Linked DNA regions of Pelodiscus sinensis. The protein of the gene in region 1 purifies or fractionates together with the protein of each later gene. This does not show direct contact. Links are inferred from orthologs where the notes say so. Each region holds a gene or a part of one and is shown on either strand. Other genes may lie near its edges.

Evidence for each region. Proteins that work in one complex are often made in the same cells at the same time.
Region 2: the proteins of PPP6C (region 1) and ARHGEF2 purify together in Homo sapiens (affinity purification with mass spectrometry; 4 studies listed by BioGRID and IntAct, with this or other methods). This does not show direct contact. The link is inferred for Pelodiscus sinensis from reciprocal best matches to the Homo sapiens genes PPP6C and ARHGEF2.

The regions. Positions count from the first base shown.
Region 1 is NC_134732.1:25,004,981-25,012,983, reverse strand, and holds the start of PPP6C (serine/threonine-protein phosphatase 6 catalytic subunit), read left to right. Parts: upstream 1-4,995; 5' UTR 4,996-5,055; coding exon 5,056-5,130; intron 5,131-5,168; exon of another isoform or gene 5,169-5,371; intron 5,372-7,654; coding exon 7,655-7,750; intron 7,751-8,003. Other genes in the region: RABEPK (rab9 effector protein with kelch motifs), read right to left, coding at 199-257.
Region 2 is NC_134734.1:14,732,478-14,740,092, forward strand, and holds the start of ARHGEF2 (rho guanine nucleotide exchange factor 2), read left to right. Parts: upstream 1-4,614; 5' UTR 4,615-4,629; coding exon 4,630-4,651; intron 4,652-6,942; exon of another isoform or gene 6,943-7,057; intron 7,058-7,615. UniProt on the Homo sapiens protein: Activates Rho-GTPases by promoting the exchange of GDP for GTP.

The DNA.
Region 1 (8,003 bases):
AGTTTAGAATACAGTCCCCACACTCTGATCTGAACCCATAGGCTCATCAAAAATGCTAGGAGGAGGATGGGTTATCAGGGTTTAATGGGGGAATCTGACCCACAGACTCCAGTGAGATAACTGGGGTCATAACGCAATAACAAACGACAGTAATGGGAGAGGCTGAGGAGAAATGGGAAAATGCTCAGATGTACTGACCACGTGCCCCTTTGGGGAACATCTCCAGGCTCCAGAATTGGCAAGGCCTTCGGCCTCATGGGTCTTGAGCAAAGGAAGCAAAGCCAGAGTCACATTAAAACCCTCTGGGGCCTGCAGGAAATCTCCCCCCCCCCGATCCCCCCCCCTTGCGGGCAGGGGAATCGCCCCCCCGATTTCCCCCCCCCCCGTGCGGGCAGGGGAATCGCCCCCCCAATTTCCCCCCCCCAGTGCGGGCAGGGGAATCGCCCCCCCCGATTCCCCCCCCAGTGCGGGCAGGGGAATCGCCCCCCCCGATCCCCCCCCCAGTGCGGGCAGGGGAATCTGCCCCCCCGATCCCCCCGCCAGTGCGGGCAGGGGAATCTGCCCCCCCCGATCCCCCCCCCAGTGCGGGCAGGGGAATCGGCCCCCCCGATCCCCCCGCCAGTGCGGGCAGGGGAATCTGCCCCCCCGATCCCCCCCCAGTGCGGGCAGGGGAATCGCCCCCCCCGATTCCCCCCCCCAGGGCGGGCAGGGGAATCTGCCCCCCCCGATTCCCCCCCAGTGCGGGCAGGGGAATCTGCCCCCCCCGATCCCCCCCCCAGTGCGGGCAGGGGAATCTGCCCCCCCGATCCCCCCGCCAGTGCGGGCAGGGGAATCTGCCCCCCCGATCCCCCCCCCCAGTGCGGGCAGGGGAATCTGCCCCCCCGATCCCCCCGCCAGTGCGGGCAGGGGAATCTGCCCCCCCGATCCCCCCCCAGTGCGGGCAGGGGAATCTGCGCCCCCATCCCCCCCCAGTGCGGGCAGGGGAATCTGCGCCCCCATCCCCCCCCAGTGCGGGCAGGGGAATCTGTCCCCCCCCGATCCCCCCCCCCCAGTGCGGGCAGGGGAATCTGTCCCCCCCATCTCCCCCCAGTGCGGGCAGGGGAATCTGCCCCCCCGATTCCCCCCCCAGTGCGGGCAGGGCAATCTGCCCCCCCCATCTCCCCCCAGTGCGGGCAGGGGAATCTGCCCCCCCATCTCCCCCCAGTGCGGGCAGGGGAATCTGCCCCCCCCCGATCCCCTCCCAGTGCAGGCAGGGGAATCTGCCCCCCCATCCCCCCCCAGTGCGGGCAGGGGAATCTGTCCCCCCCCGATCCCCCCCCCAGTGCGGGCAGGGGAATCTGCCCCCCCGATCCCCCCGCCAGTGCGGGCAGGGGAATCTGCCCCCCCCGATCCCCCCCCCAGTGCGGGCAGGGGAATCGGCCCCCCCGATCCCCCCGCCAGTGCGGGCAGGGGAATCTGCCCCCCCGATCCCCCCCCAGTGCGGGCAGGGGAATCGCCCCCCCCGATTCCCCCCCCAGGGCGGGCAGGGGAATCTGCCCCCCCCGATTCCCCCCCAGTGCGGGCAGGGGAATCTGCCCCCCCCGATTCCCCCCCAGTGCGGGCAGGGGAATCTGCCCCCCCCGATCCCCCCCCCAGTGCGGGCAGGGGAATCTGCCCCCCCGATCCCCCCGCCAGTGCGGGCAGGGGAATCTGCCCCCCCGATCCCCCCCCCAGTGCGGGCAGGGGAATCTGCCCCCCCGATCCCCCCGCCAGTGCGGGCAGGGGAATCTGCGCCCCCATCCCCCCCCAGTGCGGGCAGGGGAATCTGCGCCCCCATCCCCCCCCAGTGCGGGCAGGGGAATCTGTCCCCCCCCGATCCCCCCCCCCAGTGCGGGCAGGGGAATCTGTCCCCCCCATCTCCCCCCAGTGCGGGCAGGGGAATCTGCCCCCCCGATTCCCCCCCCAGTGCGGGCAGGGGAATCTGCCCCCCCCATCTCCCCCCAGTGCGGGCAGGGGAATCTGCCCCCCCATCTCCCCCCAGTGCGGGCAGGGGAATCTGCCCCCCCCCGATCCCCTCCCAGTGCAGGCAGGGGAATCTGCCCCCCCATCCCCCCCCAGTGCGGGCAGGGGAATCTGTCCCCCCCCGATCCCCCCCCAGTGCGGGCAGGGGAATCTCCCCCCCCCATCTCCCCCCAGTGCGGGCAGGGGAATCTGCCCCCCCCGATCCCCTCCCAGTGCGGGCAGGGGAATCTGCCCCCCCCGATCCCCCCCCAGTGCGGGCAGGGGAATCTGTCCCCCCCCATCCCCCCCCCCAGTGCGGGCAGGGGAATCTGTCCCCCCCCATCCCCCCCCCGTGCGGGCAGGGGAATCTGCCCCCCCCGATCCCCCCCCAGTGCGGGCAGGGGAATCTGCCCCCCCGATCCCCCCCCAGTGCGGGCAGGGGAATCTGCGCCCCCATCCCCCCCAGTGCGGGCAGGGGAATCTGTCCCCCCCCGATCCCCCCCCCCAGTGCGGGCAGGGGAATCTGTCCCCCCCCGATCCCCCCCCCAGTGCGGGCAGGGGAATCTGTCCCCCCCATCTCCCCCCAGTGCGGGCAGGGGAATCTGCCCCCCCGATCCCCTCCCAGTGCAGGCAGGGGAATCTGCCCCCCCATCCCCCCCCAGTGCGGGCAGGGGAATCTGTCCCCCCCGATCCCCCCCCAGTGCGGGCAGGGGAATCTGCCCCCCCCGATCCCCCCCCAGTGCGGGCAGGGGAATCTGCCCCCCCCATCTCCCCCCAGTGCGGGCAGGGGAATCTGCCCCCCCATCTCCCCCCAGTGCGGGCAGGGGAATCTGCCCCCCCATCTCCCCCCAGTGCGGGCAGGGGAATCTGCCCCCCCCGATCCCCCCCCAGTGCGGGCAGGGGAATCTGCCCCCCCCCGATCCCCCCCCAGTGCGGGCAGGGGAATCTGTCCCCCCCCATCCCCCCCCCCAGTGCGGGCAGGGGAATCTGCCCCCCCCGATCCCCCCTCCAGTGCGGGCAGGGGAATCTGCCCCCCCCGATCCCCCCCCAGTGCGGGCAGGGGAATCTGCCCCCCCGATCCCCTCCCAGTGCGGGCAGGGGAATCTGCCCCCCCATCCCCCCCCAGTGCGGGCAGGGGAATCTGTCCCCCCCCGATCCCCCCCCAGTGCGGGCAGGGGAATCTGTCCCCCCCCATCCCCCCCCCCAGTGCGGGCAGGGGAATCTGCCCCCCCCGATCCCCCCCCCCAGTGCGGGCAGGGGAATCTGCCCCCCCCGATCCCCCCCCCCAGTGCGGGCAGGGGAATCTGCCCCCCCCGATCCCCCCCCCCAGTGCGGGCAGGGGAATCTGCCCCCCCCAGTGCGGGCAGGGGAATCTGCCCCCCCCGATCCCCCCCCAGTGCGGGCAGGGGAATCTGCCCCCCCGATCCCCCCCCAGTGCGGGCAGGGGAATCTGCCCCCCCCGATCCCCTCCCAGTGCGGGCAGGGGAATCTGCCCCCCCCCGATCCCCTCCCAGTGCGGGCAGGGGAATCTGCCCCCCCCGATCCCCCCCCCAGTGCGGGCAGGGGAATCTGCCCCCCCCGATCCCCCCCCCAGTGCGGGCAGGGGAATCTGCCCCCCCATCCCCCCCCAGTGCGGGCAGGGGAATCTGCCCCCCCCGATCCCCCCCCAGTGCGGGCAGGGGAATCTGCCCCCCCCGATCCCCCCCCAGTGCGGGCAGGGGAATCTGCCCCCCGATCCCCCCCAGTGCGGGCAGGGGAATCTGCCCCCCCCGATCCCCCCCCAGTGCGGGCAGGGGAATCTGCCCCCCCCGATCCCCCCCCCAGTGCGGGCAGGGGAATCTGCGCCCCCATCCCCCCCAGTGCGGGCAGGGGAATCTGTCCCCCCCCGATCCCCCCCCCCAGTGCGGGCAGGGGAATCTGCCCCCCCCATCCCCCCCCCAGTGCGGGCAGGGGAATCTGCCCCCCCCATCCCCCCCCCAGTGCGGGCAGGGGAATCTGCCCCCCCCCCGATCCTCCCCCCAGTGCGGGCAGGGGAATCTGCCCCACCCGATCCCCCCCCAGTGCGGGCAGGGGAATCTGCCCCCCCCATCCCCCCCCCCAGTGCGGGCAGGGGAATCTGCCCCCCCCCGATCCCCCCCCAGTGCGGGCAGGGGAATCTGCCCCCCCCATCCCCCCCCCAGTGCGGGCAGGGGAATCTGCCCCCCCCCCGATCCTCCCCCCAGTGCGGGCAGGGGAATCTGCCCCCCCCCCATCCCCCCCCCAGTGCGGGCAGGGGAATCTGCCCCCCCCCATCCCCCCCCCAGTGCGGGCAGGGGAATCTGCCCCCCCCCGATCCTCCCCCCAGTGCGGGCAGGGGAATCTGCCCCCCCCCATCCCCCCCCCAGTGCGGGCAGGGGAATCTGCCCCCCCCCCGATCCTCCCCCCAGTGCGGGCAGGGGAATCTGCCCCCCCCCATCCCCCCCCCAGTGCGGGCAGGGGAATCTGCCCCCCCCCGATCCTCCCCCCAGTGCGGGCAGGGGAATCCGCCCCCCCCGATCCCCCCCCAGTGCGGGCAGGGGAATCCGCCCCCCCCGATCCCCCCCCCAGTGCGGGCAGGGGAATCCGCCCCCCCCCGATCCCCCCCCAGTGCGGGCAGGGGAATCGCCCCCCCCCGGCGGGCGCTGCGCAGGCGGAGGAGCGGCCGCCTGGATCGGCCCCGGCCCGTTGGGCCCCCCCGGCCCGGCCCCCCCGCTCACCGCCGCGGGGCGGGGAACCCGGAGCCGCTTCACAGCGCCGCCCCGCCCCCCGCGCGGCCAGCGCGCTGCCCGGCATGCCCCGCGGCTCCCGGCATGCTTTGCGCCGCGCGCCAGGGGCTGAGGCAGAGCGCGCGGGGCGCGGAGGCGAAGGCACCTGCCCGCTGGAAGGCTGTGGGGGCGGGGCGCTTCCGCTTCTGGCCCCCGGGTCGCTCAGGCTGACCGACTTCCGGCCTCCCGCCCCGGAAGTGCCCCTCGTTTCCGGCCCGTCGCCGCGGTAGTGGGGCTCGGCCGCCCCCGGAAGTCGCCGGCTCCCGTTTCCGGCCCCGGCTGCTCGGCTAAGATGGCGCCTCTGGACCTGGATAAGTACGTTGAGATCGCGCGGCTCTGCAAGTACCTGCCCGAGAACGACCTCAAGGTGAGCGCGGGCGGGGCCCCGCGGGCTGCGGGAGGCGCCTCCCCGGCCGGCCTGCCCCGGGCAGCAACGCGCTGGCCCCGCCCTGGAGAGAGACCGGCAGCTCCCCAGGGTGCAAGGAAGCGGGGCCGGCGGGGAGCCCGAGCGGACGGGGGCTCTTCAGCTTGGGAACGCGCTGCGGGACCCCGAGTCTGCACCGCCAGACTGACAGCGGAGCCCCCAGGGAAGCGTCACTTACTCCCAGGCAAGAACCAGCGGCCACCACAGGAACTGATAGGCAGCAGGTTTAAGACAAAAGGGAGTATTTTTATACACAACCTGTGGAACTCCTTGCCAGAGGGTGTTGTGCAGGCGAAGGTGATAATGGTTCAAAGTTTAGGAGGACAGGTCCATCAATGGCTGTTAGCCAGGGTAGTCAGGAATGGTGCCCTTAGCCTCTGTTTGCCAGAAGCTGGGAATGAACAACAGGAGATGGATTGTTCAATGATTATGAGTAAACTTAACAAATAGTCTTGCAGCACTTTATAGACTAACAAAACCTGTAGATGGTATCATGAGCTTTTGTGGGCACAACCCACTTTTTCAGATGATTATGTTACTGTCTGTTCCCACTGAATTCACCTGGCCACTGGCTGTAGTCAGAAGATGTGATAGTGGGCTAAATGAACCTTTGGTTTGACCCAGTAGGGCTGTTATTATGGTAAAAGACAGTAGTTTTTGTTCTGCAGATGCTTTTTTTTTTCTTCAGATCTGGGAAAAATACTCAGAGGGCTACTAAAATCTCTACAATGGGATAGCTGCACTATTGCAGCTATGCAACTGTAGTACCTCTGGTGAGGATACTGTGATGTTAATGGGAGAGGTGGCATAATAAAACCACACTGGTGCTTACAAGAGCTTCAGGGGGTAGCTGAGTTAGTCTGTTACAGAAAAAAACAACAAATGGTCTGGTAGCACTTTATAGGCTAACACAACATGTTGATGGGATCATGAGCTTTCGTGGGCACAGCCCACTTCTTCAGATGACTGGAGTTATGAGTAGGGGATATGAAAACTTGAAATAAATAGGAGGGGGGGAGAAAAAAAGAAAAAGGGAAGGGTGTGTGACACAGAGCATCATTAAGTATCTGGAGAATGGGTACTTAAACCTAAGTACATCTTACAGTGTAACTTATATCACATGTTGTTCATACCCCCAGCGACACAAATTATACCAACACCAGTGGTAATGCCTACAAGCCCACAGTGTCACAGTTAACAAGTAGGTGGGAACAGCTTGTTTAACATAAGTAGTAGATAAACACTGCGGGAGACCATTAAAAGTGAACTGATCCATTAATCATTGTATATTGAGAGTCCTGCAAAAATAAGTATGCGGTACTCTTTCCCTCTACGAGTTAGTGGAGTCAGCATGCCTGAATGTGTGAGGGGGATTCTTTTCTTTTTTGTACATCATCAGTGGAATTGTTTTCTAAGTTTTAGTGAGCTATACCTGTGAACCACCTGTGAAGAACATGGCACTGTTCATGGGGTTGCACAGGCGTAAGTGAGACTTTAGTTATTGATCGGTGAGTGAGCAGGAAAGAATCCAGTTTGAGTCTCTGATCTCAGGATGAGTTTTAGGTTTTGCAGTTTTGCAGATGGAAATTAACTTTTTTCCTTGTTAGCTGAGCATATCTAATACAGAAACCATTGATAAAATAAACATGAAATAAAGTGGCAATCTGACTTTCAAATTTTAGAGCAAAACTGCAATTTAATATAGCATTTAAATAACCTAAGATGCACTCATTCTGTGAACTGTTGCTCTATTCATTGAGACACACTTAATTTTAAAAAAATGTTTAGCTAGTAACGGATTTTCTTACATATTTATTATCATCCCAAGCAGTGTTCCCTGTATGATGTGCATGTGCATCTGCTCAGGGGTGATTAATATGTTGCCCAGCTGACTAGCAGAGCGCTCATGCCTAGGTTTTGTTTCTATCAGTGGTGCACATTAAGATTGTAAGAGTGTATGTGTTTTAACAGGTAATCCAAATGACTGCACATAGCTCCCAGTCTGGATTCTGGGGAGCTGCTTGCTGCCCTGCACTGCTGCCTCTATCAGAGACAGCAGCATAGGGTGGTGGGGGGAACAGGTATGCGCAGGGAGCGGCTTAAGTCAACTCCCAGAGAGCCACCTACCACCCTATGCTGCCTCCTGGCGCGCTGGCTGCTGCCCTGTGTGTAACCACTGAACATTTCAGTGGTTACACATGTCAATTACATGTGCTGTGCACTAAGGGATGTTAAATTTGCACATGCCTGGGAGCCCATACAAATTTTATTCTGCACATTAATGAAAAAAATCCACACATAGATAGAAAAAATTAGAGGGAACATTGATCCCAATTCATTTGATCATGATCATGGTGTCTAGAGACTTGAATACATTCTAAAGCAAATAATTTATAAATCTGTTATTTCTTGATATTACAATGCACAAAAACCTCAGCCTGATCAGTGTAAACTTCTTTTTCTGTAGCGCTTATGTGATTATGTGTGTGACCTGCTGCTTGAAGAGTCAAATGTACAGCCAGTATCTACGCCAGTTACAGTTTGTGGAGACATACATGGACAGGTAAAGTGGCGCAACTGCTTGCATGTTATATTCCTAGAGAAGAGCAGTCTGTCACTTGCAAACATTTTTAGAAAGGTAGATGGTGAGGAGTATTTTAAATATGTGGTTGGGGAAGCAGAACTAACTACTGAACGTTCAATAATTTGCAATATTCTGTGTGCACTGCTTTTGCACAGTGGAAGGAAAACCTACTGTTTATAATTTTCCCGTAGTGTACTTTTGGGAGGCCAACCTCACAGAATAAGAAGAGCTG
Region 2 (7,615 bases), on another chromosome or scaffold:
CCTTCCGGAGTAGCCCACAACCACTTCAGAAATTTGTGAAGCGGCCCCACTTCAAAAATGGGTGTTATGGGGAATTTTGCTATTGACTTTAACAGGGTCAGAATTTCGCCACTAGCATTGATTGAAAGAGCTCTCCCCACCTGAAACATTGCAGCTTCCAGACAATAGTACTTCCCATGTTCAAATTCTTGGCATTCCAAAAGCTGCCCAGTAGGTAGCTGGGAGGGTTAGATTTGCCTTGGCAAATGTCAATAGCTGTTGATTTCACCGAACCCAAGGAGGACAAAATATTTCCATCAAGAATATTTGAAATGGACAGCTAGGCAAAGTGAGAAAAATGCTTCTGGGGAGAATTTTACCTTAATCATATTTACCATGCAACCAGCCGTTCTGCGGCACCTGAGAGACTAACAAATCTATTGGATCATGAGCTTCCGTGGGAAAAACCCACTTCCTCAGATACTTAACAGTGTAGTCAATTAACTGATAAGCAAAAACTGATAGGTTAATGCTATAGTATGCACATTTCCCTTCCCTCCCTCTCCTCTCCCCCTCCCCCTGCTGCCCTGCCCCTGACAGGGCTGGATTATCCAATAGGCAGACTAAGCATGTGTTTAGGGCACCAGCAAAGCAGGAGCACCAAAAAAAAAAAAAAGAGAGAGAGAGAGAGATTGTTACGGTATAGTATTGTTTTTATTTTGAATTACATATGGGGAGGCACCATAATCTTTTCAGTGCTTAGGGCCTCTAAAGGGCTTAATCCGGCCCTGCCTGGCTAGTAAACTTTCTTAGCAGGCTGGCCAGCAGCCTGGCTCAGTCCTGGCTTGCAATGGGTCCGGGATCTACCCCTGCTGCAGCTCTGCATTTAAAGTGTATTAGGAGCCGGGCAGGCAGGCAGCCTGGCTCAGTTCAGGCTTGTGCTGAGTCCAGGAGCTCAAACTGCCCTAGACAGGGGCTGCTGCCACTCCGCACTGCTGCCTTTTTGTCCATGGCTGCAGCACGGGGTGACAGGCAGCCGGTCTGTGAGGGGAGCTGGTTTTTAAGCTGTCTCCCCTCTTGAGCCAGCTCCCACTTGGCACCCTGCACTGCTGCCTCGGATACAGAGGCAGCAGCACGGAGTGAAGCCGGAGCCCACTGGCTGCTGGCCCCGCCCCCGGGGACTATAGAATAGTCGAGTAACAGATAAGAATTCATGAGGTTACTCAACTATCCAATTAACCAATATTTAACATCCCTTATTCTTGCTCTGTGTATCTTTAGTGTGTGGTGTTGACAACTTGTGTTTGTCTCAGCATTTGCTGTCATTCAGTCATTGTCTGTCCCTTATCCCCATTAATCCCTGAAACTGTGAAAATTGAAATATCTCAAGATGGGGGGATGCTTAAAACCCATAATTTGGCACAACTCTGAAGATTTGCATTGATAAAAATGACACACTGATATTATTGGTTGGCATACACGTTGAATCCTGCCAAGCCTACCAATAAAATATTTATCACTTGGGTTCTTTTTAAATTCCTTGTCATTTTCTCTCTATAAATCCAAGGGCTACAGAAGAAGGAAGTGCAGGCATCTCCCACATGTTACGAGGCTGTAACTCTCATCACGAGAGTGACAGGAGAGCTTGTAAATGGCCAGTGCAAGGCTGGAACGGTTTCTTCCTGTTCCGTTTGGGAGGCTTTGTTGAAGGTGAATGAGGAAACAGATCACAGCTTAATGTCTAATAGTAATAGAGATGTAGCGGTGTTAGTCTGGTCTTGCTGAAACAAAAGACAAAAAAGTGCTGCATAGTCCTGTCTTTTGTTTCAGCTTAATGTCTGTGCCAGGAAAGATAATGGAGCAGGCAATTAAGGAATTAATCTGTAAACACCTGGAAGATAATAAGGTGATAGGTAACAGCATGGATTTGTAAAGAACAAATCCCGTCAAACCAATCTGATAGCTTTCTTTGATAGGATATCAAGTCTTGTGGAAAAGGGGGAAGCAGTGGACGTGGTATACCCAGACTCTAGTACAGGGAGTCCCCGAGTTACGTGGATCCGACTTATGTCGGATCCCTACATACGAACGGGGCTTTTCTCACCCTGGAGGACGCGGGCGGCGGGACCGCCCAGACGCACCGCGGTCCCACTGCCCGTGTCCTCCGCGGCGAGAAAAGCTGCTCCGCGTCTCCCTGGTCTGCCGGCTTTGCTCCGCGTCTCCCCCAGCAGATTAGGGAGACGCGGAGTGGCTTTTCTCACCTGGTCCGCGGCGAGAAAAGCCTGGTCTGCTGGGAGGGGGGTGCACTAGCTGCGCCCCCCCAGCAGACCAGGGAGACGCGGGCGGCGGGACCGCCGAGACGCGCCGCGGTCCTGCCGCCTGCGTCCTCTGCAGCTTTGATCCGCGTCTCCCTGGTCTGCTGGGGGGGGGGGGCGCAGCTAGTGCGCCCCCCCCAGCAGACTAGGCTTTTCTCGCCGATGCCTGGGGTAGAGCAGCTGGGGTGCTGCCGGGTTGGTCCCGCAGCGCCGCTCCTCGGCGCTACTGGACCAACCCGGCAGCACTCCAGCTGCTCTGCCCCAGGGGTCCCCAAGTCAGCCGCTGCTGAAACTGACCAGCGGCTGACTACAGGAAGCCCAAGGCAGAGCAGCTCTGCCTCGGGCTTCCTGTAGCCAGCCGCTGGTCAGTTTCAACAGCGGCTGAATCTGGACGCCAGTTCCGACTTACATACAAATTCAACTTAAGAACAAACCTATAGTCCCTATATTCTGCGTAACCTGGGGACTGCCTGTAAAGCGTTTCATACGGTTTCACATGACCTTCTTATCAAAATGGTTCACAGTCATGCTGGAAATGCATAGCAGGTGGGGTTCCAAAGGGGTCAGTTTTGGGATAAATTCTGTTCAATATCTTCATCAGTAGTTTAGATACTGGTATAGACAGTATGCTTATAAAGCTTGCAAATGCTACCAAGTTGGGTGTGGTTGCAGGTGCTTTGGAGAATAGGGTCATAATTCAAAATAATCTGGAGAAATGGTCTGAGGTAAATAGCATGAAGTTCAATAAGGACAATTGCAAAGTGCTCCACTTAGGAAGGAGTTCTGCAGAAAGGGAACTTGGGGTCATAGTGGGCCACTAGCTAAATGTGAGTCAACTGTGTGACACTGTTGCAAGAAAAAGCTAACATGATTCTGGGATGCATTAACAGGAGTGTTATGAGAAAGACACGAAAGTCGTTCTTCTGCTCAACTCTGTGCTGATTAGGCCTCAGTTGGAGTATTGTATCCAGTTCTGGGCACCACATTTCAGGAAAGATGTGGAGAAATTGGAGAAGGTCCAGAGAAGAACAACAAAAAAGGATTAATGGTCTAGAAAACGTGGTCTAGGAGGGACGACTGAAAGAACTGGGATTATTTAGTTTGGAAAGGAGAAGACTGAGAGGGGACATGATAGCAACTTTCAGGTACCTAAAAGGATGTTTCAAAGGGGAGGGAGAAAAATTATTCTTCTTAACCTCTGAGGATAGAACAAGAAGCAATGGGCTTAAATTGCAGCAAGGGAGGTTTAGGTTGGACATTAGGAAAAAGTTACTGTCACATGATTAAGTGTTAGCATAAATTGCCTAGGGAGGTTGTGGAATCTCCATCATTGGAGATATTTAAGAACAGGTTGGCCAGACATGTATCAGGGATGATCTAGATGGTGCTTGGTTGGTCCTGCCATGAGTGCAGGGGCCTGGACGTGATCTCTAGAGGTCCCTTCCAGTTCTAGGATTCGGTGGGTGGAAGGGGAGGTATGACCTGCAGTAGTGAGAGGAGGAGGCTGGGAGCCAGGATACTGGTTCTAACTCGACTCCAGAAGGGAAGTGTTGCCTACTGGGCAGAGCAAAGTTAGGGCATGTCTAATTGAAATGGCTCATTTGAACATTCTGAGACTATGGTTAGTTTTCAGACTGGAGTCAGAAAATTGGGGAAGGCTTCTAATTTTAGGCAAGTGATGAGGGCTCCCTTGCAAAGTGAGCGCTGGCGCATAGTGGGTATGAGTCTGTAACCCCCCCCCTCCCCCCGCGCTAGGGTGGCTTGGCTGTTTAGCTCCCACTTTAAACGCTTGCAGGCCCTAGTTTGATCCCTGGTGCCAAGCTGGTGGCCATTCCATGCACACACACACATACTTCCTATCAGCGGTTGTCCAGTTCCTGGGACTTTCTTCCCTGGACCACTGGGTCCCTGTTCATGGGAATCTGGTCCCATTCTAGAGGAGATCTGGAATACAGGGGAATCCCCAGCCTAGTCAGATCCAGCTAGTGTCTCATCTCCAACAGCGACCTATAGTGGCACATGTGGGGAGGGGGGTGTTCTATCCACTCACAATTGGTCCCATCCTGATTTCGAAGAGAACTTGGGCCAGGCTTGGGAGCCGTTGGCTGTTCCAACTCTGGTCCGTAGTCTGAGCCCTTGATGTCTCTCTCCAGCCTCCTAAATCCCTCTTCTCCACCCCTCCCCCACCCCGGGCATTTTTGTGCGTGCGCCTGTTCCTCCCCCTCTCAGCAGCTTTGCTCTCAAGCCTGTTTACATTCCCCAGCCGCACACGCAGTGCCATGCGGGGTAGGACGTGCTTGTCTGAGCTCCCTTCCGAGTCCTGTTCTGAACTAGAATGACTGTCGCTTCTACTAAAGGTACAGGCAGGAGGCACGCAGGGCCGGGCAGGGCCGCGCTGTTCTTAGTTACTTGTTTTGATCAGTTTTAGAAGGAGGCCACGTGGGCTTGGGGGTAGGGTCCTCGGTGGGGAGTTGTGATGTAGCGGGAACTGTATTCACTCTTGCAGTTGCTGAAAGTCACTGTATTCATGCTGTTTGCTTTGTTGGGTCATGTGTGATTCTACTGTCCTATGCTGTTCTGGAGTGATGGTGGGGGGATGTGTGTGTGCGTGTGTGCCTCAGTTTCCCTGGGCAGTTCAACATTGCCTGGAATGGGGGGGGGGGGGGAGCATGACTCACTGAAGAAGTGAATTTGGTCTCACACCTGAGAGCCAGGTGATAGGAGATAACACCTTTGCTGGGGAATCGGAACAAAGGAGGGGGCGGGGCTGCCTAGAAGGCTGAGACCAGTTGCTGGGTGTGTGAGTTTAGTTTTCTGCTGCTGTAGGGAGGAGGGAGTGTAGCTGGCTTGGGGGGCTCTGGGCCCCCTCGTCCCTAAGATGGATTGTACTGAAAGCTCCTGGTTCCTGTAACAAGTCTGCTATGCCGTGTCCCTGTCAACAAATACACCTTCTGTTCTACTTGTTGGCTGAGTCTCACATCTGACTGCGGATGGGGGTGCAGGGCTCGGTAACTACCCCACACTCTGTGACAGGAGTGAAGCTGCATTCCTGGCTCTAGGAGAGGTGTGGGGCCTGCCTGTTAGAGCAGGTGACTTGACGCCAGGACTCTTGTGTTCTGTTTGTGGCAGTGACAGAGAAGTATATGACTGGAAGCCAGGACTCTTGGATTCCCTGCTCTGCCACTGATTTTCCTAGATGACCTTTAGCAAGTCATTTCCTCTCCCTTTGCCTTAATCTCCCCATATGTAGCCCCCCTCCACCTCACTGTCCTCCAACCTAGCCAAAACAATATTTGATCCTCCCCTGGGGGGAGAAGGTGAGAGAGAGAAAAAACCATGGCAGCTAGCTGCTAGGTTGCTTAATTCACTCCTAGAAGGAGCTGACATGCAATTGGGCAGAGGAAGGTACTTGGATTGCAGTCTTTTTGGGGCAGGGGCTGTCATTTCATACAGGGGGTGTCTGTGTTTACAATGGGGTCTCAGGCATGACTGGGGTTCCTAGGTGCTCCAAAAATTAAAATAGTAAGAGAAGGCACAATAACTTCTGTAGAGTCTAATAGAAGAGAGCTGTCTTTCCCCACCCCCACCCCCAAAGAGGATTTGAGGGGAGCTAATTCAGTGCTCTGAGCTCCTCATTTGGTAGTACAATTTCTTTTCGGTCTCTCTCCAGCAGAGCCACCCACCACAATGAATTCCACCGCTTGAGCTAAGAGAGTCGCTCTGCTCCCTGGCAGCAGTAGTAAACCATTATCCTCCATCACAGCAGCCTCCGGATGGGGACACAGCACACATGTAGTCATGCCAGCCCTGCCGGGGGAAGCAAGCCTTGCTTTGCTTTGCAGTCACTGGCCTGATTCTGAGATGGGCACTGGCTTCCTGGAAGGGTTGTCTAGGGAAAGGGAGACTGGCCTGTCCACCCAAGCTGGAATCCTGTTGTCTTGTATACTTCCGCTAGGTTTCCATGGGCTACCGCCCCCTGCCCTCAGCTCCTCGCTGGCTCAGGCCAGCATGCTGAGTGGTGACATAGGCTTTCCCCCAGGGCTCCTAGAGCAGTGTTTCTCCCAGTGGGCTGTGGGCCGGCTTTGGGAAAGCCGCTAGTGGGCCTGCGCTGCTTTGTTTACCTAAATGCTCCGTAGCTCATGGCTCCGGTTCGATGTTTCCAGCCAAAGGGGAGTCCTAGTTCCCTGCTCTAACCACTAAACAATCCACACATCCCAGAGCTGAGGGTAGACCCCAGGAGTCCTGTTTCCAGATCCATCCCCTGTTACACTCCCCTATATTGACAAGAGGGCTAAATTTACCAGGAATCCTGACTCCCAGCCCTCCATTTTGGCCTAAGTCACACTCCCCTTCCAGAGTTGGGACTGGATTCCAGTCTTCCCTCCCCCAAGCTTGAATTGCTAGACGCCTCTTCCTGGGAATGGATGCCAGGTCTCCCTGTCCCACCCCGCCTTTAACCACTAGCTCATACTCCCCTCCCGTTGTTGGCCCATCCCTACATATGGACAATTGGTAACTGGCCTAGGACAATTCAATCAAGAGCTGTCAGCAGCTAACGGGCCGAAGGGGCGGAAAGTTCTTATCAGCTGACAGCGTCTGGGAACTCGAAAACAGGAAAGCGTCTGAGTTCATCCCGTTGGACCGGGGCGGTAGCTAGGAAGTTTGTACAGCAGGGGAGAAACAGGAGCTGGCAGGCTGGCCGCGAGCGCGGAAGGCATCCAAGCAGAGACGGGAACAGGTCTTTCCAACAGCAGGTGCAGAGGGTGAGTCTGGGGCAGCTAGAATGAGGTGGGGCTGATCCCCCAGAGAGGTGAATGCACAGTAGGGCCTGGGGCGGGATGGGCCTGCTTTGGCACTTTGGTTCTTTGATTGGGGATGAGCAGGGCTGGTAGGCATGGCGCTGAAGCTGGGCAGCATGATCTAGTGGAGAGGGAATTGGGCCGAGTCTCAGCAAGGCTGGGTTCTATTCCTGGCGCTGCCACTGACCTGCTGCTTGACCTTGGGCAAGTCACTTCCCCTCTCTGCGCCACAGTTTCCATCTTGCCCTGTCTGTTTTAGATTGGCCCCAATTGGAACAGCTTACAATATTTCCTCTAATCTTTTCCATGTGCAGAATATTTTTTTATTTGCACCAAGGCATGTGCAAATGTGCACCACCAATAGAAACAAAAAGCTTAACTGTGCGCACTCTGCTAATTGGCTGGGCAGCATTTGAATCTCTCCCGAGCGGCTGCACAAGTGCCCAGCTGCCTGGGATTTCAATTCTTGGCTCTGCCACAGGCTCTTTGTGCAACCCTGGGCAAATCACTTAGTTTATGTCT